4 linked regions of the Drosophila melanogaster genome follow. The protein of the gene in region 1 interacts with the protein of each later gene in a pairwise test. Each region holds a gene or a part of one and is shown on either strand. Other genes may lie near its edges. The genes, in order: CG10311, CG30080, sle and Tsp33B.

Region 1 (9,831 bases):
TAGCTTGTTAAATTATTTTGTGGTAACTCGCATAAAATTCTACATTTTATGAGATAGGTCTGTTTGTAAAATGAATGTTAATGGTTTAGATTATTAGAAAACGTTAATCGTCATTTACTAAGAGTCAATTAATCTAGGGTGTCTATTAGAAACAAAAACTCTTAACTTGGCTTAACATTTAGCTTTTCTGTCGCTGCTCTTCGCCTTAATATACTTCTATAAACATTTATTTATGTGGATTGTTCATTGCAGAGAAACAAATCGATCTGAACAGCGTGGACCTGAAGAAGCTGAAGGTACGCGACCTGAAGAAAATCCTCAACGACTGGGACGAGAGCTGTGACGGTTGCCTGGAGAAGGGCGACTTCATCAAGCGTATCGAGGAGCTGAAGCCCAAGTACTCGCGCAGCGAGCTGTAGAGCGCAGTCAGTTACTTGTGTAGTTACATGGAACACGCCCACTTAGCTAAAACAACAACCACATGAAACGCCCCCTACACATCCATATTTTTAGTTAATTTACAATTTTGATAGACTTTGAGAGAATTGAATATAACTATATATGCCTAAAGATAAAACCTATATTTTGAAATAAAAAACAACAAACACACAAGACCTCGTCCTCTCAAACGGTTGATAAATAGTTTGTTTTTATTTTTGTTATTAGTTTTCGGTTTTTGAACTCCTCTTTCACAATTACAAGTATTACGTACAAATTACAACAGAAATTCACATAATATCTGGATTAAAGTTTTATTTAAATGTTAAATACATAATTCCATTGCACTTAATGCCACGGGCCGCGTAAATTCGATGTGAGCGAAGGGCTGGCTCGCCTCAACTAAATTATAATTATTAGTTAGACATAATCACTAAAAACGAACATAGGAAGCTAGGATGAAGATGTGTGGGTGGTGGATTCAGCTTCTTGAATGCAATTTCTGATGAATAGTGCTCCTGGAGATTCTAGCGACGGTACGGCTGCTTGTTGTAACGACCGCGCTCGTTCTCCTCGGACAGGTTGGCGTATTCACTATAGACCACGCACCAGCAATAGGTCATAATCGCTGAAAGATGGAGGAGGAACATTGGGTTAGGGCATGTGCGCGCAAAAGAGTGCTGTCATTTTATATTCTACATGAATTGCATCCGATTTTACACGATGTAATGTAAATTGACTTTTAACTCGTATGTGGTTCATTTTCGGTAAGCACTTAATTTTTATCAAATTTAATATGCAAATTTGTAAAACTTGAAAAATATCATTTTTCAAAAGTAAAAAAAAAGCGAGGAATATATGTATAAACCTGAAGCATTCACAATGTGATTCGGTTCTTTAACTTTTATACCGCTGAATTAATACAATTAAATTTGTTTGATTCATTTAATGAGCTTATTTAACAATCGTATAGCTTTCCCAATAAACTCCTATCAAAGTTCTGCAGCTGACATTTCTACAAATGGCCTCAACAAGCCACTTTGCGCCTCATTTGCTTGCACCACCCGGCAAGTTACCTCCAAAATCCTCTAGTCTGCGGCGCCGGGGCACTTCTGTTTTCAGCACACGGGCAATCATGGCATGATAAATGCGTCTATAAATTAAAAACGGCTCGCAATAACCGTCATCCGGTGCTAAAAACCGCACATGGAGAAGTAGCAAGACCCCCCCCCCCCCCTCACCCATTTTTCACCAACCAAGAGGGAGTGCACTTACCGCAGACAATTAGGCCGAAGATCAGCCAGAGGACTCCCGTCAGCACGTAGCCGTCGATGAAGAAGACGATGCCCGTGTAGATGACGGAGATCAGCAGACCGATGGCAATCATAATGCCGAGGACCACCCATGGAACCATCAGGTAGTGGTTCCGCTGGAACATAGATAGATTTTTATTGTATGCATTTAATTAAATTAGCTGAGTACACACCTTCAGGGCACCAATGATCATGAGCAGCGATATCAAGATCGTCATGCACAAATTGATGACTAGAATTATCTTAACAATGTCATTGGGGATGAAGTCAAAGATTATCGTCTTGAAGTGCACCCGCGTCGTGAAGATCACCACGATGGTGATGATCGACAGGACTATCGCCAGTATGCCCGAGATAACGGAGCCATTCCGGGTCGATTGGCACAGACAGCACGAATTTAACAGTGGCTTCGGCATTTTGGCAAATCTATATTGTGATTACCAGCTGAAAATATTAAGAAACACAATCATCAATTTCAAGTACCATTTTGAACACATATAACTTAAAAGAATAAAAACACAGCAATAGAATAGTGAGTAAGTTCTCGATATACTCATGTAAAACTAGACAAAGATATGTTTTGTAACTTAATTGAAATATCCGAACTATTGCAAAAGTAAAGACAACCAATACTACAACATTAAAATTCCACAGTTTTACCAGTTGTGACGTCAAGCACACAAAAAAAATAAATGTTTATTAAACAAATGTGCTTTAAAAATAGAAGAAACAAAGAAAACAATGGACAGAAAGCGTGAAATACTTGAAAGACGTAAGCTTTATATTTATGGAAGCTCTAAAATAAATCAACGACACGAATGACTAATTTAATCGTACTATTCCTTCAGGGATTCGAGCTGGAATGGCAGTAGAGATGGCGAGCTTGGGAAAGTTTATATCATCGGTGCATGCGCACACGATCGGCGGAACTGGTACGAGTATACATATGTGGGTTGCACCCATCTATCCAGATAGCGAAATAGCGCCACCGGGCATTGTCATTAAATTAATCAAACGCTCAACGTGCCTCGGACCGGCTGCAGATTGATGTGGCGCATGTTGGCACTTGCAAATGCCGCTGCAGCTGGTTTGCATCCATTGGATGCGGGCACTTGTGTATCCATGTGATATATCTGATGTATACATGTGGCTCACGGCGGTCTTGGATGAGATAATCACATGCCAAAATATCTTGTCTTACATGGAAACGCTTTGAGTCATTATAGAAAGGCTGGCTGGGAAATGCCTTGGGCAAACAACTAAAGTTTAGCGAACAGATACAGATACATTTACAGATACCATTTGTATGTAAAGCCCATTTCCGCTGAGTTTCACACCTCAAACGACCTACAACAACACAGTGAAGAGATGCGAACAATCTGGGCAACAGAAGTGTTATACAAATTGCGCAATTATCAGGGGCGGCGGTGAGGGTGCGTGCCGAAGATCACATCACATTCTTTAAATTATAGCAGTTCAAAAACTTTTTTTTATAGTTTCGTCACAAACTGGCGGCGGGGCTCATAAACCGGACATATGGCGCATTAACATGCCGTTTACACGCGTTTCGCACGGGTTTTTAACTCAGACGATCTCCACGTTTGCGTCTGTTTATAAATGGTACCTCAATTGGATACAGATCCGAGCAGAAAGCATTTGTCTGGTTTCTACAACTCAGACAAACGTCTTGGGTTACTTTCTGCGGCAATGCGATATCGCTGTTTTGACCTGGTTAGAAGAACAAACCCAAGTAAAGCTAAGATACTTTAGACCTCGGCGAACAATTAGAGACTTCTCCATATCAGTGGAAAGGGGTAGACAACCTCGATATGGAAGCGATCAGCCCACTCATTCGTTTAATGGCGTTAATATTCGCAATGAACTCATCTAATGCTGACGTTGACTTCCGCTCGCCTCACACAAAGTGGTTTTACTATATGTATATATAGGCGTGACTCGCAGCTTTTGGAGTCAAGTTCAAGCCATGGCGTGGGCGACTCTTTCCGAGGAATTCGTGCCTCCACTTGACGTAGGCTTGGAGTCTTGGAAAGTCTTCTGACTTGACAAGTGCAACTGGGCAGTTGGACGTGCACTACGTAGCTGGATGGAGTTGCTTTGGGTCTGAAGTGTGATGGTGTGGGAGTAAAAGTGTGGCGGATGCTGCCGGTTTTGTGAAAGGTAAAGTTTGTCGACAAACAAATTAAAAGGCATTGGGAATGCACTTACTCAAGCATGAATTTTTGACGTTTTTCATGGAATACATCAATATTTTATATTTATTTTAGAAAGTGGCTTTAGAAAATGCAAGCCAAGAAAAGGAAAACAAAAAACATTTACCGCAGGCTGCAAAATTTGTGGGTCAGACCACGAAATAGTAGAATGGTCTCAGAACGTAGTCATATTGTAATTATTGTTATTACTTTATATGAGATAATAACTTTCAATAAAAATTTATAATACAAATTATTTTAACTACAAGTATTTACAATAAAATTCAAATTATAAAAACACAAGTAATCATTTATCGTATCCCATTAACCATAAGCTGACCCATTTGTCTAGTAAAGCGAAGTGAAATAATGCTCATATAAATCATTTCAATTGCCATTGCCTTTATGCTTGTGGAAAATGGGTTCGATCCACAAGTAAATGCTAATTTTCGTGTGCAATGAGCACGTGTCCAGCTTTTAAATATGTATATCTGACAGATACTTTTTTGTGTGCGGCTATTATCTGTTGTCGTGGGCCGCAAAACGGAGCCAAAGCCAATTATTCTCGGCTTTGGCTGTTGTCGACTTTATCGCCATTCGAACTTTTGTGACCCTGCTGCCCGCTGAAGCCCGCAAATCCACTCGGCAATTAGTTTGCGCTTCAACGCGTAATTAAGTTTGACATTTTTCTGCGCTACTTTTTGCGCCAGGCACAAAAGTTATCGAAAAGACAAAGTCATTTTGTATGTGGCTGGAAATTGCTCAATCTACAATCTTCGACAGAAAGTGGGAGCTCACTTGAGTGGCCGGGTCTGTTTTTTTTTTTCATTTATTTAGGTCCATTTGAAACCGGTAGAAATCGTTCTACCAAATTTGACAGGTCCAAAGCACGCCGCATTTTTGTTTTTTTTTTGTTTTTTTTATTTCTGCTATTCCAGCTCCCACTTGACTTTTTGTCTTTGATTTTTTGTCAAATTGGCTTTTTTCCGCGGCTTTTTAAACATTACTCGACTTGCCATATAAATCAATTAAAACCGTTGCAGCTGCAAACTCAATTGCAGCCTTTGAAGTTTCCGTTTGCCGAACAAGATTTTGTAATTACTAGTGGCAGCGGCGTCTTTTAGACGCAAGATACAAATGTGCGCGCATCCATGAGATACTTTTCGTTCTGTCGACACTACATAGTTTTCAGGGTCAATGAAGCCGCGACATTGGACGCGATCAAAAACTCAATTTTCGGGGATCTTTCGGATTTTGGGCTTTTCGTTTTCCCAGCCAAACGAAAGTTAACTCATAAACAGATCGCCCATCAAAATGATTCATATATAAAAACACGAAACACTTATTAATAGATCACAAGGTCGCGAGCAACTAGAAATCTAGAGAGTCGACAAAAGCGGTGGAACTTTTGGAACAGCTCTCACAATCTCTGATCAGTGGCTGTCTGGGGTCAGGAATGGGACTCCACCTTATGATTTTCAACACCTGTTCGTCGAGAATTCTACGCCCATGTGCCATCTCGTATGGCGTAGGTGTGCGAACGCCTTGGCTTGTTCTGCCAGAATATTTTTTGTCAAATAAAATTTGGTGGCGTTATCTGTTGCCTTGTAAATTGAGTAACCTTCACATTGTTCATTTTTCACTGCTTCCAAGTGGATGCGCGTCACTGAACTTTGCCAAATGTGGATGGATTAGAAACAGTTTTGTCTTGAAGACCGTTTATTTCCCTTTATAATTACTTCCCAGGAGGAGTGGCCACTTAAGATTCAATGAACGACGCTTTCATTTGGGGCTTTGATGTGATTTTTATGGTTCGCGACTGAGGCGAATAGCCAAAATGTGGCTCAGTTGAAATGTATGCCAGGCGCGCATATTACGTATACGCCCCCGCACACCTGAACACTGGGCTGGATGGCCCACTTATCCCTAAACTCGCAACGTGTTCAACTTGAGGTCCCCAAAAAGGCAAAGAAGAAGGCTTTCAGGTTGTCGCCGTTCGCAGACTTTCAATGTCAGTTCGCAATTCTGACATCACCGAGTGCATCGACTATATAGATCGCTATGCCTGCAGCAAACAGACTGACTCTGTTTTCATTAAGATGCATTCATTTTCTCTGCCAATTTGGGTCAGCGATCAAACAGTGGCATTATTGTTTTCCAATTATTTATACGCTGCGGTTTTCTCAATTTTACCGCAGCTTTTGCGGGCGCTCAGAAAAGTAAAAAAGTCAGGGGGTTTAGCTATCAGCGATCATTTGAATATTGAAATTACTGGACGGCCAGCCAGCAGCGACAGCTTAATGAAATTGAATATATTTTGTATAAATAAGCACATACAACCGCAAGGCAGACGAGCGCGCCTCAAGTCGGGTAACTGGCTGTATAGTATAGATAGGTATATGAGTATATGGCTACTGGGGGCTACCTACTCCTCCCACTCCTCACGCCGCCCTTCCCCGAGAAACACTTCTGTTTGATCACACATATGCATATGTATCCACCTCCGGGGGCCAGCTGCTCGCCTGTTATTTCAATTTCGAGGCGATCGTTTATCACTCGATTTGCATGCGACGGCGATCGATTGATCTCCCGATCCGCCCAATCGGCTGCCAACTGCCTGCATTTCTCCGCTGATAATGTCAGTCTCCTGGCAGCCAGCCATATATTCACTTACACTTTCTAATTTATTTTTGATTTGATGGTGCAGCACTGCTAAATGCAGTCGAGGGAAATCGATTTGATTCCGCTGATTCGGCTGCCTCCTAACTAATTATTCTCATATATTTGATATTTGCCTCCTCCAAGTGCGTAGCGTTTCGAGGCGATTTGGATCCGACGACTTGCGCGCGATTTCGATGTGAGTGCGACGGGTTTCACGGAGCGACTGAAAACGCGGGCTGCTGCCGCCAACGTGAGAGCCGACTCGCGATCGCGATTTTTCACATCTGCGAGCGTTAGTTGATTTTTCCGCTCGTTCTCGGCTAGCTGGCTGAAAAGTTCTCAAAACTTGGACGCTGTTTTTAGTTAAGACAGCTTTTGCGTGACCGGCAAGAAGCTTTCTCCGAGGCAGAAACAGCAGAAACCAGTTAGGCGTTTCGATGGCCCACGTTGCTCTGCTGTTCCGGCATGAAGATATCAAGCACTTGGTCAAACAATGGTGAGGCGATCTTCTACAGCGCATTGCACTAGCCAAGTCAAACAAATCAGTGGACGTTCTCATTACATCCGTGTTGTTTTCCTCGTTGAAGGAACTCGAGATTTCAGCCGAAGATACATCAGCACGCCATGACCCCATCTGCCTTTATTGGCCATGAATAAGACCGTGCACTGTGGCACAATGTATGAAGATCTATTCGAAAACAGATAGGTATTCCAAAAGATAAAAGTCACAGTATTTAAGTTTCAATGACTTAGTTTACCAGTCTTGCGCAAAATTCGTTGTTGTTTCTTGATATCTTTTCTTATACATAAATAAAATAAAATTAAACTAAAACTGAAATTTTATTTAGCAGCATGTTTTTTGTGTGCATCTGCCAGTCGTTAGTGGCCAGGTTTTTGGTCATTTATTCTGTAAAAGGTAAATGCTAGCAATCGACTTATTGGCATCTAGGCGATAGTTTTGTGGGGCAAGCTTTGGCATGCAGCTACTTTCATATTTATCAAATCGTGCCATTTACAAATATCCATATTCCATTGTATGCAAATTTCAGCATGACTCGAGGCAAATTAAATACCTCATTAGGTCATGCTTAAATCAGACCAGGAAGTTTAGTAGGTCGTATCCAGCGCCCTATTCATACTCCGATTTTAAAGATCTAAGGCTTATATTTAACATTCTTGAGCTATACTTATGGGGATTGCTCTGGGATTATCAATCTTTATATCTCTCTCTTCGGCGACCATATTTGCTAGAAAAGGGATTCATTAGTTAAAGTTAATTTTCGGTAGCAATCGACCGTTATCGAGTGCCATAATCTATATATATATTTTCGTCAAACACAATAACACATAATTGAGTCTTTCTGTCGGCTGCATATTATGTTTTATTTGAAAATTTATATATATACATTACAGTAAATAATTTAGTCAGGTAGGTGGAGAAATAAAATGTAAGATTACTTAATTATCGTACAGCAGCACTGCAAACGAAAATGAACAAAAACCGGAACAGAATCGAAGTCCTTGGGTGGCACTTGCTATTGCTATTGCTATGTCGCGTGCTGTACAGCCCGGTAATATCTATGCGTAGTTGTATACAATTCTCGTGAATTATGTATGTTGCTTCATGTACATTCTAACCAACTATCCTAGGTCCTTGGGCGAATCGGGGTCTTGGCTGACGAACGACTGACTATAAGCCTAACCTGTCCGGAAATGCAACCGGGAGTCCAGATCTCTATCAAGCCAGTGGGTTGACTATTTGCTTGTGCCCGCCGCAGCGGCCTCTTCCTTTTTTTTCTGCTTCTCCCGCATTAACTCAGCGTCCCTGCGTTATGGGTTGGTTTATTAATAATATTATATCTTATACATTATACATTGAAAATGTAAATCACTCACCTGGCCTTCCTTTGCTCCACGGTGAGGTTATCGGTTCGCTTTCCCTTGGTCAAATCCGCCTGCTTCTTCTGGTTCTTCTGGCGGGCCAGGTCTCGTTGGTTGCCGCCTATTAAATTGGTGATATTATAATTGGTTAATACGTGGCAGCTGGTTAGTGGCGCGTGCTAAATGTGATCTACATAATCTATGAGAGGTTAGAGGCGTTCACATGTCCTCTGCTTGTCCATCGATTTTTGCCTGCTCTATACGCGAAAACCCAGGATTACTTTCGGGTCGAAATTCTAATTCTCTTATCATATTTTGGAGATTACGATTTTGCATGACACTGGAGGTAATCCTAGTTAATTTGTTATTTAGACGAATAGATAGATATACATATGTATGTGGATCTACATGCACATTTAATACATTGTGCAGTATTAACAAAATGGCTTCATGATGCCCTTACTTACGTGTCATTTTTAAGGCTCCTTCTTGGTTCTCGACTGAAAATAGCTACAATTTTGATACACTTCTACTTTTGAGAGTAGTAAATTTAAGTTGTTTAGCGTTATATTAAATATTCCTGCTGCTTTTCGAGCATTCGAAGTTGATTTGTTTTTATTGAACGATGTGTCAAAAGTTGGAAGACACTAACGCGTTAGATGCGCACAGGCACTAACGCGTGGTAATCGATGGGCAGCACTGGTGTGCTCAAAATGAGCACAGCTGGTATATTTCCCGGGACTTCGGTTGATATTTAAAATATAATTTCATTGAAAGTAGATTTAAGCTAGTGTGATGTGTTTTGTACAATTTTATGCATGCTTACCATGACAAATTTTAAATGAATATAATATCCAACCGTCCGAGATCGACAATTTTCACCAAATTTATAAATATATATAATTATATATTGAAGTTTGAGATTTATTACACTACAGTAGTAATCCAGGCAGCAATCAAAAGTTGTACATAGAGTCTAATAAAAACAAATCTTATTGATTTTAAATAAATCTATCCATTGCCAACTGACCTCGTTTGTCATTGTTAGTGATAGCATATCGTTCCTCGAGATCTTCGAAAATGGACCTGCTGCTCATTTCATCGTATTCCCTTCTTACAACCCATATTTCCAACGTGCTCAGCAGCACAAATTTTGTATGGGCGCTCTTAAAATAACGAATTGTGCAGATTTAACCACCATATTTATTAACAGTATATATATTACCTCCTTTGGGTGATTTCCAGACCAAAGACCTATAGCATCCAAATATGATTTAATCAGCATTCGCCACACCCAATACATGTGCATGTCGCCAAGTTTCGGTATT
Region 2 (7,338 bases), on another chromosome or scaffold:
ACAACACGAAGACTAAGGTGGACTGTGACAACCACCTGTGCCAGGAACCCTTCCAGGAGTACAATGTGGATATGGGCTTCAGGCATAGGTATTATAATGCGAATGACCAAACCAACGACATCGGCATGCTGCGACTCGGAAGGAGGGTGGAGTACTTAAGTGTGTCTAGTTAGGATATGAGTACGACATTTTTATAATATCGATGCATTTCACATATGCAGATCACATACGTCCGATTTGCATTTTCGCAAGCAACCGTTTCCAGGAGCCGATAGACCAGCTCACCTGGTTTACGACCACCGTTTGGCGTGAAACTGCCGCTAACGCAACGAGCAAAGTTCTTCGGACCATGAACATCGACCGCCAACCCAAAGAGACGTGCTCCGAAATCTATGGCTGGAATATGACGTTCGAACAGATCTGCGCCGGCAACACCTTGAGTCAACTCTGCAGCACCGACTCCGGGGCTCCGCAGATCCGCAAAATGTGGCACAATGGCTCAGACCGCTATGTGCAACTGGGCATCGCCAGCAGGGTGAAGGGCCAGTGCCAGAACTCTGGCATTCTCATGGATCTATTGAGCTACGCTGACTGGATAAAACGGGTGGTACGGCAATACGGACCCTCGACGGATATGAACCGTTCATTAAAGAAATGGGTCGATAAAATTCCAGTATTTTACTACCCGAAATAATATAATATCAATAGTAAGCTTTCATTGCTAGTCCTTGTTTAATATAATAAATTAAAAAGTTTAATGTTGAACAATAAAGACTATGTCGCATTTAACATTTCTATGTTTCTAAGCAAAGAAACTCAACAAATCTTGTTTTCCTTTTAAAAAAATTACAATATTATTGGCTTAATCTCAATTGACTGATTATGATTTTCTTGTTATACATATAACAAATCCATCTGAGTTTCAAGACTTTTTATTTTAGCCAAGTTTCGCATATATTTGTTACATTTCATGTAGAAAAGATTCGATCTTACATTGTTGGTTGAAAACCATGCTAAGCGTTGGTGATGTAAAATTAGGAGGATATGTATGTAGATTGAAAAATTGTTTAAATGCATTGTGTAATGTTTAAATAATTAAACATTTTTTAGTTTTGATAATACATTTTCTAGTAATTTTTTATTTATTTATTAAAACAATTTTAAAATACTGAAATACCGCAAAACTTAGTCGTATGTACCAATGTTCTTCATATCACTTGTAGCTCTTTTGCACGGAAATTTAATTTGCTCAAAACACTTGTTCCAATAAGCAAAACGTGATTGCTTATATTAGCTAAGGTCAGCTTCTAGAGTATGCCACGGATAAAGAAAGAAATTCGTGCTAAAGTCGTTTGAAATTGGCCCATTAAAAATGTTTTCTATAAACAAGTTCGGATCGCATGAAATTGCAACCTGTTTTGCAAAGAGTGCGAATAGCTCTTGCTAATCGATATTTCAGAGCCCTCCCGATCCCATGTTATCTGCAAGTTGAGCAAAATGGTTGTGTTCATATACATTGCATTTTATATTATATTTTCACACTAAAACTAATTTCTAAGTATTAACATTATAGCACATAAGTTAGATTAGTTACGATGGGATGAGCTATAGATAATTACACATGTTTCTTAACATTAACATTATTAACATATAACATAACATTATTTGTGCAGTTAGTTGATATGGCGATATGTCGTCGAGCCGGCAATATACACAACCGGTTTTTGTGCCGCACTTTCGAGAGATTCGATTGCATCGGACTAGGTTGAATCGATCTTAGTAGACCACGATGGAGCTACTGCATGGCGTGTCTTGGATGGATGTAGTGGGATCCGGAGTTGTTGTCCTCCCGGTAAATGGCGGTCATCAGGAGCAGCAGGGTGCCGGCGATCAGGGCTCTAAAGACTTTGTCAACAAATCGAATGTGCTCCATGTTCTGATGCTCGTCGACTGGTCGAAGCTTTGGAATTAGCAATCTTAGCGCGTCTGGCTTTGAAACGTTACTGAACGCTCGTCTTGATAGCGACCGGAATTTATTGCAGCTCCAAGCGAGGTGTTTTCCCCCTACTGAAGGTTGGATGGTGGAATTGCTGCGGCAAGGGTAGTTTCCCAGCCGCCGACTTGGAAATGCCCCAAACCCAATCGCGTTACGAGCACTTTACAATGCCACAAATTGTTGTATTTCAGAACTCTGAAACAACAAAGCGAAACCCCCCTCTCGGAACGAGATCGTTGACTGACTCTCTGCGTATCGCTATAATGAATTCAACTAACAAATTTTGGCATCGTCAACGTGCCAAGATTGCAAATCAAAAGCAATCTGTTTTGAAGACGAGGCGACGACGCATTTTCTTGGATCATTGCTCTTTAAAACTGACAGAGACTGGACTCGAGGAATCTGGAAGAATCGATATAGGGAGGGACATTTTTTTATATGTATATCTAATATCATTGTATCCAAACTTACCTAACATATTGCTGGAACTTGGGACTATGGCAAAATTGAATACAACTGCGCCACATGTTTTGCGAGATCTTTCGATATAAGGAAAGAGTATTTGCGGCGAGACTACTAGAGATCCGAATGGGATTCAAGGTCCAGTTAAGGGGAAAATCCCGCTCGATGTTCTGCAAGTGTGGCATCTCTCGATGAGTTCTCGTTTCGGACTGAGGATCAAGGACTATTTGATCTCAGGTAGGGGCGCAAGCAGCTGCATTTTCTTTGCGCCTCCAGATGCCCAGGGGTAGGTCATGTCCTTAAGAGCAGGATGGAGTGAGGATCAAATTCTTGTTACCTACAATTCGCAATATGGTTTACTCTTTAGATGTGTATCTAACCGAAAACCTCTTTATGCTAGTAATATGACTGATGAGCAAATCTTCTCTTAATTCAGTAAAAATTCAGCTTTAAGATACAATTATGTTAGCCGAAAACAAAGATATTAACAGAAATGGTATCAACGCATTCATTCTTCACCCTTTTTTATATTTAAAATAAATATTTAATGTTCTCTATCCTGCACTGCAGCATTATTTGTTTCTCTGTAAATTTAATCACTGCAATATGCAATCAAGCTACCTGTAATCAGATAATCCACAGAGATTCCTCTGAAGTTTGACTGTCTTCTGCATTCAGTTCATATCAGAGCTTGGTGGCGCAATGACGGTTTTGCAATTGCTGCTCCTGGTCATATGCCTTAAACTTGGTCAACAATCCGGACAAGCAGTTCCCTTTGGAAACCAAACAGAGAAGCCCTGTAAGTGCCAGCAGATGAGGGGTGACCTGTAGTAATGTTTCCCTCCCCAAGATCAAACATACTGCACCACCTACGATCAGAAGCCAGGCAAATGCTTACACTACAGAGAATGTTAGTGCATCGCGAAAATAGTTTCGAAGCCAAAGGACCAGCTGACCGCCAAGGACTTGGAAATAAAGAGGAATGCCCCTTGTTTTTCAAATTCTAAAGTGAGTGGTCATTTAACAAAGCGACATATGCTGATATTCCAATCTTTCAAAGAAATTCATTTGCTGTGAGGAATTCGTGCTGATTGCCAGTGAGAGTTCGTGCGGAGAATTCGGGGATCAGAAGATAACTGGAGGGAGCGAGATTCAAATGGGATCTCGACTTTGGATGGCCTTGCTGCAATTGAATCTTTCAAAACCGAATGAGAGGTTATCCTTTGCGTGCGGTGGCACGTTGATTAGCCCACTTATGTATTAAGTTAGTCCGAAACCAGGGAGTCTCGGTTAATATTTTAATATTAATATTAAATATTATTATTATTATATTATTATAAAGCAAACAAGATTATTAAATAGGTGACATTGATAAGATAATTCATGTACTTTAACATAAGCGAATAGGAAAAACAACTTAAGACCAATCTTACTTCGGACAGCCCCTAATGTTGAACGTTTTAGAGTTTATCAGGTATATTGCAACTAATTGCAAGCTCGTAGTTTTCATATGTCTTACGTTAGATACTTTCAAGCTAAATGGTTTGGTTATCTACGCTGAGGGCATCCACTAACTGGGAAATTCGTTGAGCTCGCGTCAATTTCCACGATACGCAGGACAAAGCCGTGATGAAGAAGCCAATCGCTATAAACCCAAAGTTCATCATAGGAACAATCAATTCAATAGCACTGTTACTCACCCATTAGGAGAATGGCCTCGGAAGTCTCATCCTGCCAGGCTTTTGAGACAACGCACAGTAAAATGAATCCGCTGAGCAGGCAAAAGGATCCAACTACGACGGCCAGTGTTATGAGTATGATCACCGGATCGTTTAGAGGACCATAATCAAAGAGTGTACGGCAGAGGGACGTTTTCCGGGGCATAGGAGTACCACTGTTGAATAAAAACTAACTAGTAGATTTGCTAATCCAAAACTGTGCACTACGAACCAGGCTTGAGAATAGGTGGGTAGAATGGGAACAGCTCTGCACTCCATGGCGCTCCTAAGGAAACTGAAGTTGGAGCTCCACACTAATGTTTTTGGGTGGCTGGCGGGCCCTACTTCTCCACATTCTAAATTTAGCCCTCAGTCGCGGCTGACGATCGCAGACGCGTGTCTGAGATTGGAGTTAGGGCGTTACATTATCTATTTATAGCCATCTAGGAAATGGTTCGATCCGGCGGAACTAGCGGAACAGATGTTTGAGTTCAGCCGGCTACTTCTGCAGTCACAATGCGTCTATTTTCGTATCTATTTTCTATGCAGAGTTCAATGCTCTGTGCGTTGAGCTGAAGAAGAAATCGAAGATCCCGAGAAGTCGTGTAATGTAATAAATCAACTTCATTACTGCCTCATAAACGTCGAAAAAGGAGGCGTGGCGGGGGCGAACAAGTGCGAATCATTAACTCGATGTCTCGAAGTTCACGTTTCGCATGTGCCAAGGTAGCGTTGACAACCGACACGCGCAGTTTCCCCCCGCATTTTCCGCCCATCACCGGCGTAGTTATAGAAATATACTTGGCTGCTGCATTCAAGCGAGCTGTAAATTATGCAAAATAACGACGTCAAAGTTTCAATATAATGAAGCCAACGGACTGGCGGGAGTTTCGGGGCCCGCAGGTTGGGGAATATTATAGTCTGAAATTTCATCCCTAATGTTTCTATGCCATTAAGCCAAATAGAAAACGAAAAGCAACTTATGTGCCATAATGTTATACCTTTAGATTCCATGGATGCATGAGGGTGAATTTAAAGTTTCATTTCATGCACGTACTTAAGTTTTAAATGGTTTCGAAAGTATGTGAAACGACTAGTTGTGAGTTACCATTAAATATATTACTTTACAATTGTTTAATTGAATTTCGGGTGCATGTAAAAACTCTAAGGTTTCTTTACAACAGTTGAATGCTAGAGGTTATAACATTTTTCCCCTTGGTTGTGGCCTGAGACCAACACTCAATCACTGCCCCAAGTCCTGAAGACATAAAAATCAAATCGAAGCCGTCGCCATAAACAATTATGAACTTTGTTGCACATTGTTGTCCACACATGGCCACACGGATCCTGCTCCTTGTCGTCGCCTTGGTTACATTGTAAAACGTTTTATTGTCGCCACCATCTGGCGACGATTTGTTGGCAGCAGCGCACCGCCGCCAGACGCCCAGCCACCCACTGAAACCACCGAACCCACCAGAGGTGCCAATATATCCTTTTTCTTGCTTATTTCAAACCCATTCAGCTAATGGAAAAATACCATTCCCGGTTGGAAAGGCATAAAATATGACCTGATATGTATCTAATTAGAAAAATTACTCCAAAATAATATTTAAAAGTTTTTTGATAATAATATTTTAAAATTATTTTGATAAATAACCGTACTTCTTTTTTTAATTTAACTTTTTTTGCTTATTTGCTCATCACTGAACCCACCCTAAAAATCCGATTTCAAGGTGTAAGCCGGCGGCACGACGACAACTGTTATGCTTATCGGATGCTTTCTGAATAAGAATAAGAATTCGGATGCGGATGTGGATGTGGATGGGACTCGAGTGCGGATCCCAGGCGCTGAGGCAAATTGCTGCTGATTGTCAGGTTCAGGCGACGCTGCGTAAATAACTGAAAGTGGTCCGAGGTGCCAACTGCCTTTGAGCCGGACCCAAAAGTTTGGCGAAGCACATTAGACGGCGATGGCCAAACTTCGGACCGATTAAGTTGGGAGTCGCAATGAAAAGGGCAGTTGGCAGTTGGCAGTCGGATGATGGTGATGCTGAAAATCTTATCGCCGCACAAGAACCCGTTTCTTTTTAGTGCCGCAATCAGCGCTGTTCACTTGCAATGGCCGTGGCAGGACAAATATTTTACTTTTACTCTTTCGCGTCCGTTTCGAGATTCATTTTTTCTTATACCGTCTCCGTTTCTGACTTTAACTTTCCGCCCCACTCCCCCCAAAGTTGAGCTCTCTAATGCGCTGCAAAAGTGTGCCAAAGACGCTGACAGCGAAATCAAACACAAGTCGGTTGGAGTACATATATATAAACGGACAAGCAGCGGAGAAGGTCCTGCAGAAGGTCCGAGGAAAGGATGCACAAAGTTAAAATTAAATTAGCGTTTTTTCGAGCTACGCAGGGTAGCAGGGCGATGAGAGGTTGGGTCATTCTGGGCCACGAAATGAAGTCCAAGGGCACGCGATTCTCTGGGGAATGCAGGGTATCTATGGGTCGAATCCGAATGATTCCCACTAACAAGGTATTCGCATCCTAGTGCCACTGTCTGTCACTGCCTGCTACTTAGCCAAATTAAAATTTCAGAGCACCAATGCGCTGCACGATGTTGGGCTACATAAATAAGAAGCTAATTTGAAATAACTATACTAATATCTACATTTTTAAAAGTTATAAACTAAATTGGTACCAAACAAATGAGCTTAATTAAATATGTGGTATTCCTTCAGATATTTTATAAGTTACAAAACTAGTTGTGTTATAATGAGATTCTGTCAAGGGATCATCGTAACTTGTATTTTCTTAATTTATTTAATTTAAATTTGAAATATTGGTAGAGCATTAATCCTTCGACTCGCGAACTAAGCAGTTTCGCTTCCGTTTCGCTGTTAGTGTCCTTTTAGCGCTTCGCATTTATGCTTGTTTAAGCAAACGCCGTGTTATCGTCCGGATCCGGATTCGTGTCCGTGTCCGTGTCCGAGTCCAGTCGAAAGGATAATGCGCGTAATTGTTGTCCGTGCCCGGCAGTTGGCGCTGAAGGAGCGCCTCTATTTGCATGGAACGCATTAAAAGTCGCTGGCGCAGCGCCGTGGCAATTCAATTTAAACGAGTGGCATAAGCGCAATCTGGCAAACTAGGGATTACCACTAATGCCGCA
Region 3 (9,472 bases), 6.0 Mb from region 1:
TACTCTGTAGGGGTTTTTTTCGCAATTCAATTCGGAAAATAATTGCTGCGAAACAGAGCTCTGTGCTTCTTCTTCTTCTTCGTTTTGCCCCTTCTTCTTCTACCTTCTGACAGATGTGTTTGCCATTCGATTGCTAGCAATCGCCTGTGAATGCCAAAAATTAATCGAGTGCCCAGGGGGCGCGCGAGTGTAAGTGGGTGTGGCCACGTCAAGTCAGCAAAGTAAACACATTTAAAAAATAAATAAAATAGTCCACTTTTCAAGCTAGAGAGCAACAAATTCGGCCTACTGCGCTTAGGGCATTCGATAATTCAGAGCCATTCGATAGACAGAGATGCCTATCGAGTAATCGATTACAGGAATGTCAACAAAGTGGAAATAAAATGAATATTTTACCAAAAAAACGGTAAGTTTTATACTGATTCTAAAGATACCTCTCATCAATTCACGTGTATTTCTTAGCTGGCATGTGCGTACCAAGGAGAACATTGCCCGCGTGCGCCGGGATCAAGCGGCTGCCGCAGCAGAAGAAAAAGTCCGGCAGGAGAAATTGGAATTTGCTGTGGGTATTGCCCAAATATCGTCAATTTAACATAGTAATGTGTACTTTTATCAAATAGGAAAGCGAGGCACGAATCAACTTCCTGCGCCGCCAATCGGGCTTGCCGGAGAAGGCCTCCAAGGAATCTCGAGAGGAGTCGCAATGCAGTACTGAAACAACCAAAGGGGTGGATCTCTTTGCCGACTACAAGGCGAGAGTGAAGACCACTAACAAAGACTTGGAAAAGGAGCAAAAGGAGGAGCAGGAGAAGTATGAGAAGCAGATCGGCTACCTCACCTACTTGGGCCAGGACACCAATGAAGCTTTGAAAGTGCGCAGCTGGTACGAGTTAGCCCCCAAAAGACCAGAAGTTGGGGATCCCACAGCTACTGAAACTCATCATAAGCAAAAGCTAGCCCACGATCCTCTGACCCTAATTAATGCTTTGTTGCCGCCAGAAAAAAAGGATCCCAAAAAGGCCACAAAAAGAATTCGCGAAAGGACACCCGCGCCTTCTCAGGAACCTTCAATACCCCACAAGGACAAGAAATCCAAGAAAGATAAGAAGAAGCACAAGAGCAAAAATGGTTCAAGGGAGACCCTTTTGGCCGAGGAACGCATAAAACGAGAAAAGCTCGAGACGCTAAGAAGGGAGCGCATGCGACGGGAAACAGCGGAACGCCAGCGTTCCGAGGCTCTGTTCGCACCCAAGGAGCTGCCGGTGGCTGCCAGTGCCGAATCCACGCCGGCTTCGACGCCTAAGGTTGTCCAAAAGTACAACAGTCAGTTTAATCCGGAGTTAGCAAAGCAAAATATGCTCTAGCCATTAATTATGTTTTCAACTTAATGTTAACAGCCTGATTATGAATATAATCACTAAGCAAATAAATAGAAATTACACTTTATTATTGAATTGTCTAAAAAAATACTCTTTGTTTAAATATAAAAATGATTATCGTCAAATATTTGTACTTTTATAAATACATACATATGTATAAACACATCGCTTTAATATCCAGTTATTCAACCGTTACAAGAAGTCTTGGCGGTTTGGTCATGGTTTAAATTTAGATTTCGCGATAATTCCGCTTAAATGATATCGGCTACTTTATCGGTGCCGAAACAGGCCAATGCTGCACAGCGTCTAAATCGGACGAACTATTAAGTGATTTTGCACTTAAAATAAGAAGATAGAAACCTAATTTCGAATAAAATTTAATTTAAGATAATTCATCAGTTGAAGGTGATATTAGGCTATCGACACATTGAATTTAGCCCCGAAACTATACTAGTTTGAATTCTAACGGCCGCCACACAAATGCTCAACAGCCGGCTGCAGTGTTAGAGAACGTCGCAGTTTGCGGCACATGTGAAAATCACTTTTTGGCTCGGCGTCTTGGCGTCTTCGTTTCTATTTCTTTGTTATAATTTGCATGCGGGTTCGAAACTCTCTTGATTTCAATTAATTGTTGTGTGCGAAAAACAAAAGAGCCGGGCCAAATGGATGATAATACGGAGAACACAGATGGAAAGCGCGGTGAGTGAATCTAAGCGTGCTGTGCTGAAAAAGCAACGGGACAAGTAAACCGGCGCTCCAAAGTCAGCCATTAACGGGGGGCTCCTATCTCAAGCAGGTCGCCTTTGCATTCGATCGAATAAAATTTATTCTTACACATTATTCATTTTTTCGTTTATCCGTTTAATCCAATAAATATGGTAGTGACCCGGGCTAGAACTCGTCGCTTGTCCCTTCTGGAAACGGACAGTCGTCCGAGCACTCCGCAGTTGGATACGGTTGCGGAACTCGGTAAGTTGTGGCCCAACTCGGATCCCGGTTGTTTCAAGTCTAAGAATATTATTTCTCGCTTCAAAAGGTACCGCTTCGCCACGTGCCACACGTCGCACACGTCTGAACTCGTCCACTTTAGATGTGAGGACTCCAACACGAACCAGGCGCGCATCCTTGGCACGCGGTGAAACTCCCGAGCCGACGACGCCCTCTTCCGTGAAAAGGACAGCTCGCACGCCAGCTAAAAACACCAGATCTGTGCGCCAACAGCTTACACTAACAGAGGAACCTGAGGAAAATGAGGTCAAGCAGGAAAAGCCCAGCCCCAGTCCAAGCCCTGTGCCCAAAGAGGGCAAGGGAAAGGCACAGCGGAAGCCCAGTGTCAGTCCGAGTCCAGGGCGAACACTCACACCCAATCAGCAGAGTGATGAGAAACGAGTGACGCGTTCAATGTCTCAGACTCCACCAATGCCCACTCGTTCGTCCAGTAATACGCCTCGTGATCTTAACGATTCACCCAAAGTTGAGCAAAAAGCTAAACCCAATATTAAAACCACTCCCAAAGTGGCAGTCAGGCTCGAGAAACTTTCAATGGACAAATTCTCTGGCAAGAAGATGGAAAAGGCGAAGCCATTGATTGTACCGGATGAACTCAAGGATAATGGAGTTGTTGAGGAGCAAAATAAATCTATCACTGAAGCCCATTCACAGGCACCAGAAACACACGAATCAGCCCAACCTGACAAGGATGCTGGCAAACAATCATTCCTGAAGTCATTTACTACACTTTCGAAAATTCAAGGTTCAAGTAAAGCTCTTCACCCTGATGAGAGCGCAGATACAATTACAAAAATAACTCCAACCTCGACATCCAAGAAAATTGAAGAAAACATGGATGATGTGTTTGAAACACTACGCGTCGAGTCCCCCAAAGTTGAAAGAAAAATCGAGACTCTGCAGAAAGTCCATACTGTTGGCACTCCTGAAATTAAAGAAAAAGACGAGCCCGTTGGGGTAGACAATGAAATTAAAACGAAAACCGAAACTCCCCAGAAGATTGAACCCCCTATAATTGAAAGCAAAGTAGAAACTCAGCAACTGATTGATCATCCTCAAATAGAAAAGAAAAGAGATACTCCACAAAACGTTTCTACTGTTGACTTAATGGACACAAGCCCAGAAAAAGATGAGTCCATGGAGGACCAAGAGTTTTTGGATGCAGAAGATTCGATTGTTCAGTTAGAGCCACAAACCGATGAGCCAGTAGAGAAACCAAAAGAACTGGAGTTTGTAGACCTCGACGACGATGAGCCGGTATTTCCGTCGGAAGCTCCAAAATATGTCGAAGACAGTAAGGAAGTACACCCAGATGATTCAATGGATGATGACAAGCAAAACAAAATCGATGTTACCGAGGTTATACATCTGCCCAGCATAAGAGCTCGTGCTGTGCGTTCTCCTGCTGTGGAGCAAAAAAAATCGGTGGACTTCAACAACGACACTGATGACTTAGAGGTAGAAAAGAAACGGTTTCCCAAGACTCCAGGACGTGAGAAGGTGCCAGTTTGTCGCATTCTAACCCCCAAGCCGGAGACGCCCTTAAAACTGGCTCTGCAAAAGGGTCGTAATAGTTCCACACCAATATTAAAAGATCAGGAACGTGGCCTGTCCAACAGCACGGAGGAATTGCATCCAGCACCTCCTCAAATTGATGCTATCAAGCCATTCGATGAGCTGGAATCAAAGAATGCTAAGGATGAGATGGTGGAACAATCACCCATGTCAAAGCAAAAGGCTGAGAATAAAATCCTGGCTCGTCTAGAAAGCTTTGAGGAAGATGTTGAAGACCACGGGAATGAAGAAGAAAACGAGGAGGAGCACGAAGAAGACAAATCCATTTCCGAATTTGTGGACCTAGAAGCTGAAGATGCTGGGAAAGATTACATGTCTGGAGATTCGATGGACAGTTCGCTTCGCCGGGAAATGGAGGAGAATGAAATTCCAATCGATGGGGAGTCCGTTGGCAGTAAAGATACTGAGGAGTCTACCCCAGAAGAATCTGATGGCGACGATTCGTTTATTGTATCGGACAACGAAGACGAGGAAGATTTAGGACAGCTTTGCTACTCCTCTGGCGAGGATGAAATTGAAGACGCTGAAGAATCTGAACAAGCTGAGAGGTCTAGCGTGAAACGTCGCCGCATTATTATTGCGAGCCCCAGTGATGAAGAACATGATGGAAAAGTTCAGAGCAATGACGACTCAAGTGAGAACAAAACAGAGAAGCCCAAAAACCAAAGTAACTGCTCATCCAATGCCAGTAAATTGAGCGAAGCGGCCCAACTGTTAAACGTCAGTGAGGAAAAATCTTCCATCTCGGAAACCGAGCTGGAAAGATCTCGCCAAGTCGCTCTCAACGAACTGAACAAATCGGAGCGGTTTAACAAGACAGAAACGCAACTCGATATCAGCGTCATGGAGGTAGACTCCTCGGATCACGACGAGGAGGAGAAGACAGAGAAGGTTGGAGCCAAGAACAACAGAAGCCTGTACGAAATCGTGGATTCTGATGACGGGGAAGAGCAAGATCAAGACCAAAGTGATGCAGATAAACCAGCTGAAAGCGAAAACCATTCCGAAATTAAAAAATCTACATCTTTCATGGACCAAATGTCTGGAGCCAAAGGCAACAAAAGCGTATACGAAATAATGGATTCTTATGAAACTGAAGACCCTAAGGAGGCTGGTAAAAACGAGGAGTCTGATAAGGACAAACCGGCCGAAAACGGGAAGTCTGATAAAGACAAACAAGCCGAAACCGAGATGTCTGATGAAGATAAACCATCTGAAATCAAAAGCCCTTCCACAATCAAAAAATCCATAATTTCAACTGCGGATGAAGAAGCTCTGCTCGCCGAATTGGCCTCTAGTGATCTAAGCCATTTGGAAAAAATGTTTAACCCTCTACAGAAATCCCGCCGCCAGTCCTTACATGTCCCCAGTCCCGAGCTGGCAGCCAAGAATCCCAAACTGAGACGCCGTAGTGAACGGGTTGAAGTTGGCAATGACTTCTGCCCCTCGCAGTCCTTTGTTGACATGGTGGCCGAGAAAAAGAGGCAGAAAAACAAGCGCAAGCGCCTGTCGAAAAGCCTATCAGGCGCACCAGAGGATCTTGAGGAAATGGAGATTAAGCACGAGCGCAAGCGCCTTAAGAGCTCACATGGTGCTTCCACGGATTCAATGGAGGAGGACAACGAAAACGAAACAATGACTGTCGCCGAGGAACATCACAGCGACGGGGAAGTCTCGAATGGTGAAGTTCCTATTGAAGAAAAGCCCACTACTTCATCTGAGAAACCATCTGCGTCGGAATTACCTGAAGAAGAAGAAACTGTCGCCGTTGAGGAGCTTCTCATGGAGAAGCCGAAAACTTGCGATTCACCGCGATCCGAGGAAAGACCGACAGAAATTGTGACTTCAAAACCGAAGGGTATGGCGCCGGTCAAGGTGGAGAAGACTGCCGAATATTACTTGGCATACTGTCACAACCTCCTGGAAGCTGCCAACGAGGCTAAGTTAAAGGAAAAGAAAGAGGTCAGTTTCTTAAATAAAAAATCTCCTTTACGATTCACACTAAATTCGCTTATATTTTATAGCATCTTGCCAGCGGAGCAAAGCAAAAGAAGCCAAAGCGAATTGCTGCGCAAGCGCCATCCAAGCTCCTGGGCACCATCGGCTCAGAATCGGAAACCAACACAGCGAAATCGTCCAAGCAGCCACCGGCGCTGAAGAAGGATGTAAAGCGCCTACAGGCAGCGCGCCAGGCTGTGAGTCATGCTGTTAATCTTCTGGCGCCACCAAAAGCCACCGAAGCAGAGGTAAGCGTTAGTTAGTCGCCTACAAATAATAAGAGTATAACCAAAAGTCCTTGCTCCTCCGCAGCCACGCACGCTCTCGCGCAAATTGTCGCCACAGCCGCCAGTGGTGGACAAGAAATCAGCCAAACAGAAGAAGGGGAAGAAGAAGCAAAAGCCCCAGGAGGCATCACCGCTAAAGAGTTCCGATGAGGAGAACCACGGCCATCGTATTCGAACAAATGCTGGCTACGTGACGGTGGTCGATGAGCCGCCCACTAAAGTTCCCAAAATCGAGCTGATTAAGACAAGTTCGGGCATGGTTCGAGTTGAGCCGTGCACACCCAAACAGAAGTATTTCCGCGAGCTGCCGCCCACACCGAAAATGCATGGGTTCCGCGAGGAGCCAGGACCCTCCGGGATGTCAAGGAAGCGGGCCAAGCACGCAGCACCAAAGGTCGAACACAATTCCGCCAAACAGGCGGCGCTGCGCTTCAAGGAGCAGATCTTTGCTCGCAGATCTTAGGATACATTACATTTAGAGAAAAATTAGTGGAAATGTTAAGTGTACACAATGCATACTTCAGTTTTTGTTTCTTTTCATTAGCATTTCCCCGATTGAATTTGATTCTATTATTTGTTCTATTGGTTATTTGTTACGCAAGCCCTTGCTCTTTGCCATATATTATTATTTTGTTCAATTGCACATCACTTAACCACACTTAACGCTAGCAAGTTGGTTGTTGATCCAATCAAGATATGAAATCAATTAAGAAATTTTCGAACTTGTCCCCTTTTTTTTTGAGCATCTGAGAAACAGAAAATAAAGCCTACCCATACAAATACAAAATGAAGGAGGAAACTTTTTATTACGGGTCCGAACATTCGGGGACAATTCTCTGGAAAAGTAGGCTGGCGGTTGCCTGTCCGTCATGTTGCACAAAACTTTTCATATTTTTTCACATATGGCTCACCATTTCGCAATGCGAACAATTTGTAAGTAAAATGCTATTCTATTCTCAAGATTTAGTATCCTATTTCGATTTTTGCTTTTAGTCAATGCAAAAATTGGCGATGCAGCCTACATCCAGGATGAACTGTCTTCGTCGCTATCCTCTTCTGTGGCCAGCAAATTCAAAGAATTTTCGAAGCGCAAACGCATTTCGGACAGTTTCTCGGATCTTTCAGAAGAACTTGAGAGAATAGGTTTGCGACAGATGAGGAAACGCATTAAGTTGGAGAAATCGTTCGAAAGAACTCCCAAAAAGAAGGTCCAGACCAAGAAGCATTTACCACCGGTTCGGAAGAAGGATAGCGTGAAACGTCGCCGCATTATTATAGCGAGCCCCAGTGATGAAGAACATGATGGAAAAGTTCAGACCAATGACGACTCAAGTGAGAACAAAACAGAGAAGCCCAAAAACCAAAGTAACTGCTCATCCAATGCCAGTAAATTGAGCGAAGCGGCCCAACTGTTAAACGTCAGTGAGGAAAAATCTTCCATCTCGGAAACCGAGCTGGAAAGATCTCGCCAAGTCGCTCTCAACGAACTGAACAAATCGGAGCGGTTTAACAAGACAGAAACGCAACTCGATATCAGCGTCATGGAGGTAGACTCCTCGGATCACGACGAGGAGGAGAAGACAGAGAAGGTTGGAGCCAAGAACAACAGAAGCCTGTACGAAATCGTGGATTCTGATGACGAGGAAGAGCAAGATCAAGACCAAAGTGATGCAGCTAAACCAGCTGAAAGCGAAAACCATTCCGAAATTAAAAAATCTACATCTTTCATGGACCAAATGTCTGGAGCCAAAGGCAACAAAAGCGTATACGAAATAATGGATTCTTATGAAACTGAAGACCCTAAGGAGGCTGGTAAAAACGAGGAGTCTGATAAGGACAAACCGGCCGAAAACGGGAAGTCTGATAAAGACAAACAAGCCGAAACCGAGATGTCTGATGAAGATAAACCATCTGAAATCAAAAGCCCTTCCACAATCAAAAAATCCATAATTTCAACTGCGGATGAAGAAGCTCTGCTCGCCGAATTGGCCTCTAGTGATCTAAGCCATTTGGAAAAAATGTTTAACCCTCTACAGAAATCCCGCCGCCAGTCCTTACATGTCCCCAGTCCCGAGCTGGCAGCCAAGAATCCCAAACTGAGACGCCGTAGTGAACGGGTTGAAGTTGGCAATGACTTCTGCCCCTCGCAGTCCTTTGTTGACATGGTGGCCGAGAAAAAGAGGCAGAAAAACAAGCGCAAGCGCCTGTCGAAAAGCCTATCAGGCGCACCAGAGGATCTTGAGGAAATGGAGATTAAGCACGAGCGCAAGCGCCTTAAGAGCTCACATGGTGCTTCCACGGATTCAATGGAGGAGGACAACGAAAACGAAACAATGACTGTCGCCGAGGAACATCACAGCGACGGGGAAGTCTCGAATGGTGAAGTTCCTATTGAAGAAAAGCCCACTACTTCATCTGAGAAACCATCTGCGTCGGAATTACCTGAAGAAGGTAATTCAGCGCCACCGGCGCTGAAGAAGGATGTAAAGCGCCTACAGGCAGCGCGCCAGGCTGTGAGTCATGCTGTTAATCTTCTGGCGCCACCAAAAGCCACCGAAGCAGAGGTAAGCGTTAGTTAGTCGCCTACAAATAATAAGAGTATAACCAAAAGTCCTTGCTCCTCCGCAGCCACGTACGCTCTCGCGCAAATTGTCGCCACAGCCGCCAGTGGTGGACAAGAAATCAGCCAAACAGAAGAAGAAGGGGAAGAAGAAGCAAAAGCCCCAGGAGGCATCACCGCTAAAGAGTTCCGATGAGGAGAACCACGGCCATCGTATTCGAACAAATGCTGGCTACGTGACGGTGGTCGATGAGCCGCCCACTAAAGTTCCCATAATCGAGCTGATTAAGACAAGTTCGGGCATGGTTCGAGTTGAGCCGTGCACACCCAAACAGAAGTATTTCCGCGAGCTGCCGCCCACACCGAAAATGCATGGGTTCCGCGAGGAGCCAGGACCCTCCGGGATGTCAAGGAAGCGGGCCAAGCACGCAGCACCAAAGGTCGAACACAATTCCGCCAAACAGGCGGCGCTGCGCTTCAAGGAGCAGATCTTTGCTCGCAGATCTTAGGATACATTACATTTAGAGAAAAATTAGTGGAAATGTTAAGTGTACACAATGCATACTTCAGTTTTTGTTTCTTTTCATTAGCATTTCCCCGATTGAATTTGATTCTATTATTTGTTCTATTGGTTATTTGTTACGCAAGCCCTTGCTCTTTGCCAT
Region 4 (5,734 bases), on another chromosome or scaffold:
TTTTACTAAATGTTAAGAACACGTGACTTGAGCTTTAACTGAATTTTATATATTAATTACATATGCTCCAGTAAGTTTTCAACAGTATTTTGATCAACACTGATGTTCTTATTAAACATTCCTTGGAGTGGACACACTGGCCGCACGGCTTTTCACATTGTCATTTTCCAGGAGCTAGGCGTTGAAAATTTGTTAAAAATGTAATTAAAATTAAAGCAGTTCATTAAATATATTGATGGATTATTCATTGCAGGTCCCAATCAAAGGTTCCTCATATTGTGGGCGATGATGATGAATATCAAGAAGCTACGTAAGACTTCATTAATTTAGCTTCAGAAAAACACTGACAATATATGTATTTCCTTTCTAGTGCTCCCGAAAGTGACGAGATTACCTGCGAGTCTTCTGTGTAAGTCTTTTTAATATAATGTTTTGATAGATTATTTTTAAGTTGCCTTATAATCAGGGAAAGTGATCAAGATGATGACTGTTCCAACGAAGATGAGTGAGTAAATTTAATGTTATAAAACAAAATCATTTTTCTTCATTTTGTGAACCTTTTAGTATGGATTTGGATGGGGCAGACTGGTCCCCATATGTCACTTATGAGGCGGGTACACCGTAAGTTATAGTTTCGTAATGTAGAACGTGGAATAACGGGTTCGGATTCTCTACAGAAGACGTCCCCACAGTGCTTTGGAGATTACCGAAATTACCGAGTTTCCGAAAATTCCAAAGAAAAACCCCACCTCACCCGAACTGGTGATACAGAAGCCAGAGACTCCGGATCAAAACGACTCGGGATCTCAGGAGCGTCTCACCTTCTCTCGCGCCAATAATGCGCTATCAGAGTCCATTGGAGCTCGCGTTTCCCAACGTAGCAGGGGCAACTTGGAACCATTCATCCGTAGAATGGCACGTAGCCCTACGCCCGAGGCCTCAGAGGAAAACGGCTCGGTATCACAAGGTCAGCTGCTGGCCAAGCCCGTGGATGTCACCGAGTTCTTTCACCGCATTGCTGTGGGTCTCGTCGAGCAGCGCGTCTGCTTGAAGCCTTTCTTGGCATTGCGCAAACATATTGCTCAACTGGTGGGTCAGACTTTGAAGAAATCCAAGAGGATGCGCCGTTAATCCATTTAACATCCAATGTTACAACATCCATGTAATAAGTATCCTATAATATCCAATAAATAATATATTGCGTTCACCGATTGGATATGAAGTTAACTCAAATTCGTAAATTTAATTAAATTAATATAAAATATAAAAGTAAAATTAAGCACAATATTAGTATCCACACGGTTCGTCGTCCATTTCGGTGCAATTGCAGTAGTTAATATCGGGAACGTTGTCGGATACCAGATCATCCTCGGCAATTGTTACACAGCGCACGTTACACGGATATTTCTGGGGAATGGACTGATTTAGGTGCTATCGATGGATAGTAAATGGATAAACCCACCACCACGACCAAGGGATGTCCATCATCGTCCGTGAGTCCCACATTATCGCAGCCATCGCCCTCGTTCTGCCGGTGAACTATGAACTTGGTCATACAACAAAGCACGATCTAAAAAGATGATTGACTTAGGGAGGTCTTATCTTAAAATACAATTTTGTTGCATATTCAAATTTTTTGATTTCAATATGACTTACGCTAATGAATTTGACAGAATTTAATGAATATGGCTCCAATATTCACCATTGTTCTGACTTTAAAACGTTGCCCATTACCAATTACTTACCAGAAACTTAAGGGCCAGGACCCATAACGCCATCAGGATGTAAAAGCAGTTCCACACCGCACTAACGAACGCAGGCAAGCATCCGTTCGCATTGATTGAGTCCACGGTGAGAGCGGGAAAAGGCTGCCGGCTATTGCCACCGATGGACTGCCCCTCACTGGGCAGGAAATTGTTAAAGCAGCTGTCGCAGGAGCGCTTGCAGCAGGCGAAGGGTGCCAGGACCATCGACGTGCAGTTATTCTCCCGCCGTGGCATCCACTCCGCGTTCATCCAGTCCTTGTAGCCATGCACCCCGCAGCACTCCTTGTGCCACTGCAGTCCGTCCCACAGGAGTTTCCACTCGGGACACGAGTAGTACATGTCGATGCCGCGGGTCAGCGAGGTGTCCGCCGCATTCTCGAGGACATCGACACCCCGGTAAAGATTCCAAACGCACCCGAAACCGGAGGCAATGATTACGCAGGAGTAGAAGGCCCACACGGATAGCAAGAGGCGAATGTTCGGCGTGCAGCGACGCCGCCAAATTCGCCGCCACATGGCAATGCTGCAGAGAAAGGTCACCACCACCTGGGCGCCAAACACGTAGATCCCAAACAGATAGCCGTAGACCAGGCGGCACTCAATATCCGATAGATAGCCGGTGAGCACGGTGTGGTAGTAGGCGGTCACCACCAGGATCAGCAGTCCGATCACGGCCTCGGTTATTAACAGCAGGTGGAGGTAGACGGAGGCTCGGCGGAAGGGCTGGCGCATTTGGTCATCCTCGTGGGCATCGATCCAAAGTTTGGCTTGTCGACGAGGTTTTAGCTCTGAACTCGAATTTCATTTGGATTGACGCTGATTGCAAGGACTTGGGTGTTTGAATTTTAAAGTGTACTACAACTTGAATTTAATTTTTTTTATCCCTAAGGGCAGTAAAAACAATGATGCATTGAAAAATCGCTTTACAAATATGTATATTTACATCTTTTTATTTGGTAAGCAGTTGATAAATGTATACACTTAACTATATTTCAGTTTAAAACCTTTTCATTTTGGAGCTTGATCAGTTGGAGCATATCCCACTCATGGGGCAGCGGTTTACCGCACAAAGCTAAACTTGAGTACGCCAGATGTGTAGTCCGTATTGGGTCCAATCTGTTTTGCATCCACCTTTATCAGCCTTATGTTATCAACGCAGCGCGAACTTTGAACTATTTCCGGATTGATATCGCTATGCCGGATCCACAGCTCTAGAGGGCGAATGCGCCAGCTTTGCTTGGCCAAAATGGCAATACACCTCCAGACGAAGGATTCTCCATGGCAGAAGGTTCGAGTGATGTCGAGGACTCTCAGCTGTCGACAATTGATCACGAATTCCAGCAGGCCCAAAGGACTCTCCAACTGATAGCCACACAAATGGAGTTCGGTTAGCTCACCCAGTTGACTGGCTAGCTGCCGCAGTATCTGATCCCCCAGGCACTGCACCTGGACGCCCTCCTCCTTCTCCTCCTCTTCCTCTGGCTGGCTGTGCAGCTCCAGTCGCGTCAAGTGACTAAGATTTCCCAGCTCCCTGAAGAACCGGCCATAGTCGTGCAAAACTCCACTGAAACTAAAGGCCTCAATTTGTCGGCCATCGCCGGGAGGACTTGTGGGACTAACTATCCTCGATAGGACATCAAAGACAAAGTTCCTGGAATAGATCGACAGCTTTCGCAGGTTTGGCAATGTCAGTAGTTGCTGCGTAATATCCGACTCCATACACACGTGGTAATCCGCAATCTTGATATGCTCCAGTGTGGGACACAGCTGCAGATCCGCCAGATCACAGCAGTTCACCTCGTCACAGTCCTCCATTATGTCAAATTTGCGTAGTCGCAGCTGCCGGAAGATGTCCCTAAAGTGTTGCGATTCCAGAAAATGGCAATCATGCAGGCGGAGATCGGTAAGCTCATCCAGGTCGCATAGGTATTTTCCGGTAATTTGGCAGCCTCTAAGTTTGAGGCTTTTTAGATTGGGAAATACCCTCTGCAGCATTCGCACATCCTCATCCACGAAGCGAACGCGTCTCCGTCTATACACATTGCCCAGCCACTCGAAAGAGTGAATCCTCTCCAGCGTGTGGTTACTGAGCAGTCGCAGTCTTCGGACATCCAACTGCTTGCAACTCAGGTGCTGCATGTGCGGAGCCAGGGCCAAGATGAAAGCCACAAACTGTCGGGAATTGGCTCCCGAGCGTCCGAACATCTCGTCCTGCAGGACAACGTTGCGAACACGGGTCTCCCAGAGCATGTGCACTACGCCCGCCAAGCGCCTGTTCAACCTGCTAATCTGGAACTGCTGGTACGTGTCCAGCTGGCGGATGATCAAAGCCAGGACATCGTCATTCAGCTGGAGCAGCGTTACTGCAGTGGGTTCTAAAAAGTTGAAGGACGATCGTCTTAATAGGCTCAGTTGTATTGTTTTTTTTTTTTTCGTTTTTAGCCAATTCCTTACCTGTATCGCTTGCGGACGTCATCTGCGGTCTGTTCTCGATCGTGGTACTTGGAATACTAATGAATTCACGCAGTTGCCACGGTCAGTAGTCCGATGCTACCTAGTGCGAAGGTCATTTAGGGGTGGGTTTCCAGGCAGATCGGGCGGAATTCGCGCTACCTAAACGACTTATCCTTTTGGAGATGGGAAAACGAAGCGATAGTTTTCGGGGTATCCCAGAGATACGAAATCATAATAATATCCTTAACCAAAAAATATAATTCTACTCAGGGTTACTCAGTTTCTTGTAAAATCCGGTTTTATGCTTATGCTGCGCGTTTTTGCTGCTCATTTATTTGTTTTGTTTAGTGCTTACTACTTCATAAATTTTAATTACATTTTACTCGTAACTTGTACAATATATACTATATATATATATATTTCATTTGTTGTCCAATTTCTGTCGTATAGGCATATATATTTTAGGTATATATAGTGTTGTATTGTATCTGATTTATAGTACATTATTGTTTCTATTTAGTATTGTTACTGTTTGTTGCTTTTAATGTTTACGTTAATTGGGGCATTCCAAGCGTTTTCTTCAGCTTCTGTTAATTTTTCTCCTAGGAAACATTTTTGCCGCTGTCCCAGCGTTTAATCATTAAGGTTAATGGGTATGTGTCTGTCGATCAGTGAGTGTGGGTTGTGGAGAAAGTTACCTCTATTCTCACGGCTTGCACTACGCAACTTACAAGTAAATTATTTCGTTTGTTCATTAATATTGCAACACAAGTGAATTGTCTCCATAAACTTGCCTTTCACGTACTACACATACATATCCGTTATATATTAGTCAATAATCGTACAATAATATATATCTCTATATGCATTCTATATACTGCGCTCTATACACATCACCAAAAATCCAAAAACACCCAAAAACTAACACGGATACTCAACTACATAATTATAGACGTGTGATAGTGTGTGTTTGCGACTTCGAAAACAATTATTTTCAGTGTGAAAGCAAAATACATGCATATCAATGATAATTTCATTTTCAATTTTCAATTGTTCCCTGCATTCTAAGTGTATTCAAAATGTGCACTTTGCTGCGATGATCGTGAATCAATAAAATTAGGTTAAATAAAACCAAGTTCTGTCTTTAAATGGTTAAACAAACAGTTTTACATTTTCCGTTTATTCGTGTACAGTTACAGTTTGTTAAATTAAATTAAAATTGTATTTTAAGCATTTAATTCTCGATAATTAAATGTATAAAATGTTGCATTTAAAAGGAAGCATAATGTGTGGGTCGTGTGTCTGTCAGTTTGTCTGTGTATTGTTTTCTTACTAAATTATTAAACTTTGACTCGTGTTTAATATACTTTTTTTTAGATTTCTCTTCCTTTTTTGTAAAATTTAAAGCAGATATGTTGTTGCTTGTGGCGCTTGGGGATTTCTCGTTAATTGTTTCACTTTCTTTTATTTCGTTACGGCTTAAACTTGTTCTTAATGTTTGTTGTTTTCAACAC

The links.
Region 2: the proteins of CG10311 (region 1) and CG30080 interact in a two-hybrid assay, tested with the Drosophila melanogaster proteins (one large-scale study listed by BioGRID).
Region 3: the proteins of CG10311 (region 1) and sle interact in a two-hybrid assay, tested with the Drosophila melanogaster proteins (one large-scale study listed by BioGRID).
Region 4: the proteins of CG10311 (region 1) and Tsp33B interact in a two-hybrid assay, tested with the Drosophila melanogaster proteins (one large-scale study listed by BioGRID).

Annotation. Positions count from the first base shown.
Region 1 is NT_033777.3:16,350,165-16,359,995, forward strand, and holds CG10311 (uncharacterized protein), read right to left. Parts: upstream 6,852-9,831; 5' UTR 6,636-6,851; intron 2,196-6,635; 5' UTR 2,168-2,195; coding exon 1,925-2,167; intron 1,868-1,924; coding exon 1,714-1,867; intron 1,067-1,713; coding exon 966-1,066; 3' UTR 622-965; downstream 1-621. Other genes in the region: Manf (mesencephalic astrocyte-derived neurotrophic factor), read left to right, coding at 253-419; CG17931 (uncharacterized protein), read right to left, coding at 8,378-8,447, 8,519-8,624, 8,971-8,977; CG42446 (uncharacterized protein), read right to left, coding at 9,460-9,479, 9,534-9,669, 9,729-9,831.
Region 2 is NT_033778.4:15,697,221-15,704,558, forward strand, and holds CG30080 (uncharacterized protein), read right to left. Parts: upstream 4,477-7,338; 5' UTR 4,456-4,476; coding exon 4,409-4,455; intron 4,353-4,408; coding exon 4,159-4,352; intron 4,104-4,158; coding exon 3,994-4,103; 3' UTR 2,644-3,993; coding exon of another isoform or gene 2,468-2,643; intron 2,399-2,467; coding exon of another isoform or gene 2,368-2,398; 3' UTR 1,934-2,367; coding exon of another isoform or gene 1,796-1,933; 3' UTR 1,506-1,795; downstream 1-1,505. Other genes in the region: CG33462 (uncharacterized protein), read left to right, coding at 1-159, 222-694; CG42662 (uncharacterized protein), read right to left, coding at 1,796-1,933; CG46433 (uncharacterized protein), read right to left, coding at 2,368-2,398, 2,468-2,643.
Region 3 is NT_033777.3:10,331,236-10,340,707, forward strand, and holds sle (slender lobes), read left to right. Parts: upstream 1-1,879; 5' UTR 1,880-2,041; coding exon 2,042-2,078; intron 2,079-2,161; exon of another isoform or gene 2,162-2,254; coding exon of another isoform or gene 2,255-2,261; coding exon 2,262-2,348; intron 2,349-2,415; coding exon 2,416-5,924; intron 5,925-5,986; coding exon 5,987-6,208; intron 6,209-6,272; coding exon 6,273-6,710; 3' UTR 6,711-7,030; downstream 7,031-9,472. Other genes in the region: CG12818 (uncharacterized protein), read left to right, coding at 384-406, 463-562, 621-1,364; CG12592 (uncharacterized protein), read left to right, coding at 7,168-7,180, 7,241-8,811, 8,876-9,316.
Region 4 is NT_033779.5:11,789,806-11,795,539, forward strand, and holds Tsp33B (tetraspanin 33B), read right to left. Parts: upstream 2,561-5,734; 5' UTR 2,499-2,560; coding exon 1,746-2,498; intron 1,571-1,745; coding exon 1,463-1,570; intron 1,408-1,462; coding exon 1,288-1,407; 3' UTR 1,220-1,287; downstream 1-1,219. Other genes in the region: CG14932 (uncharacterized protein), read left to right, coding at 199-200, 254-310, 371-409, 467-505, 565-621, 678-1,131; CG14937 (uncharacterized protein), read right to left, coding at 2,826-4,141, 4,221-4,242.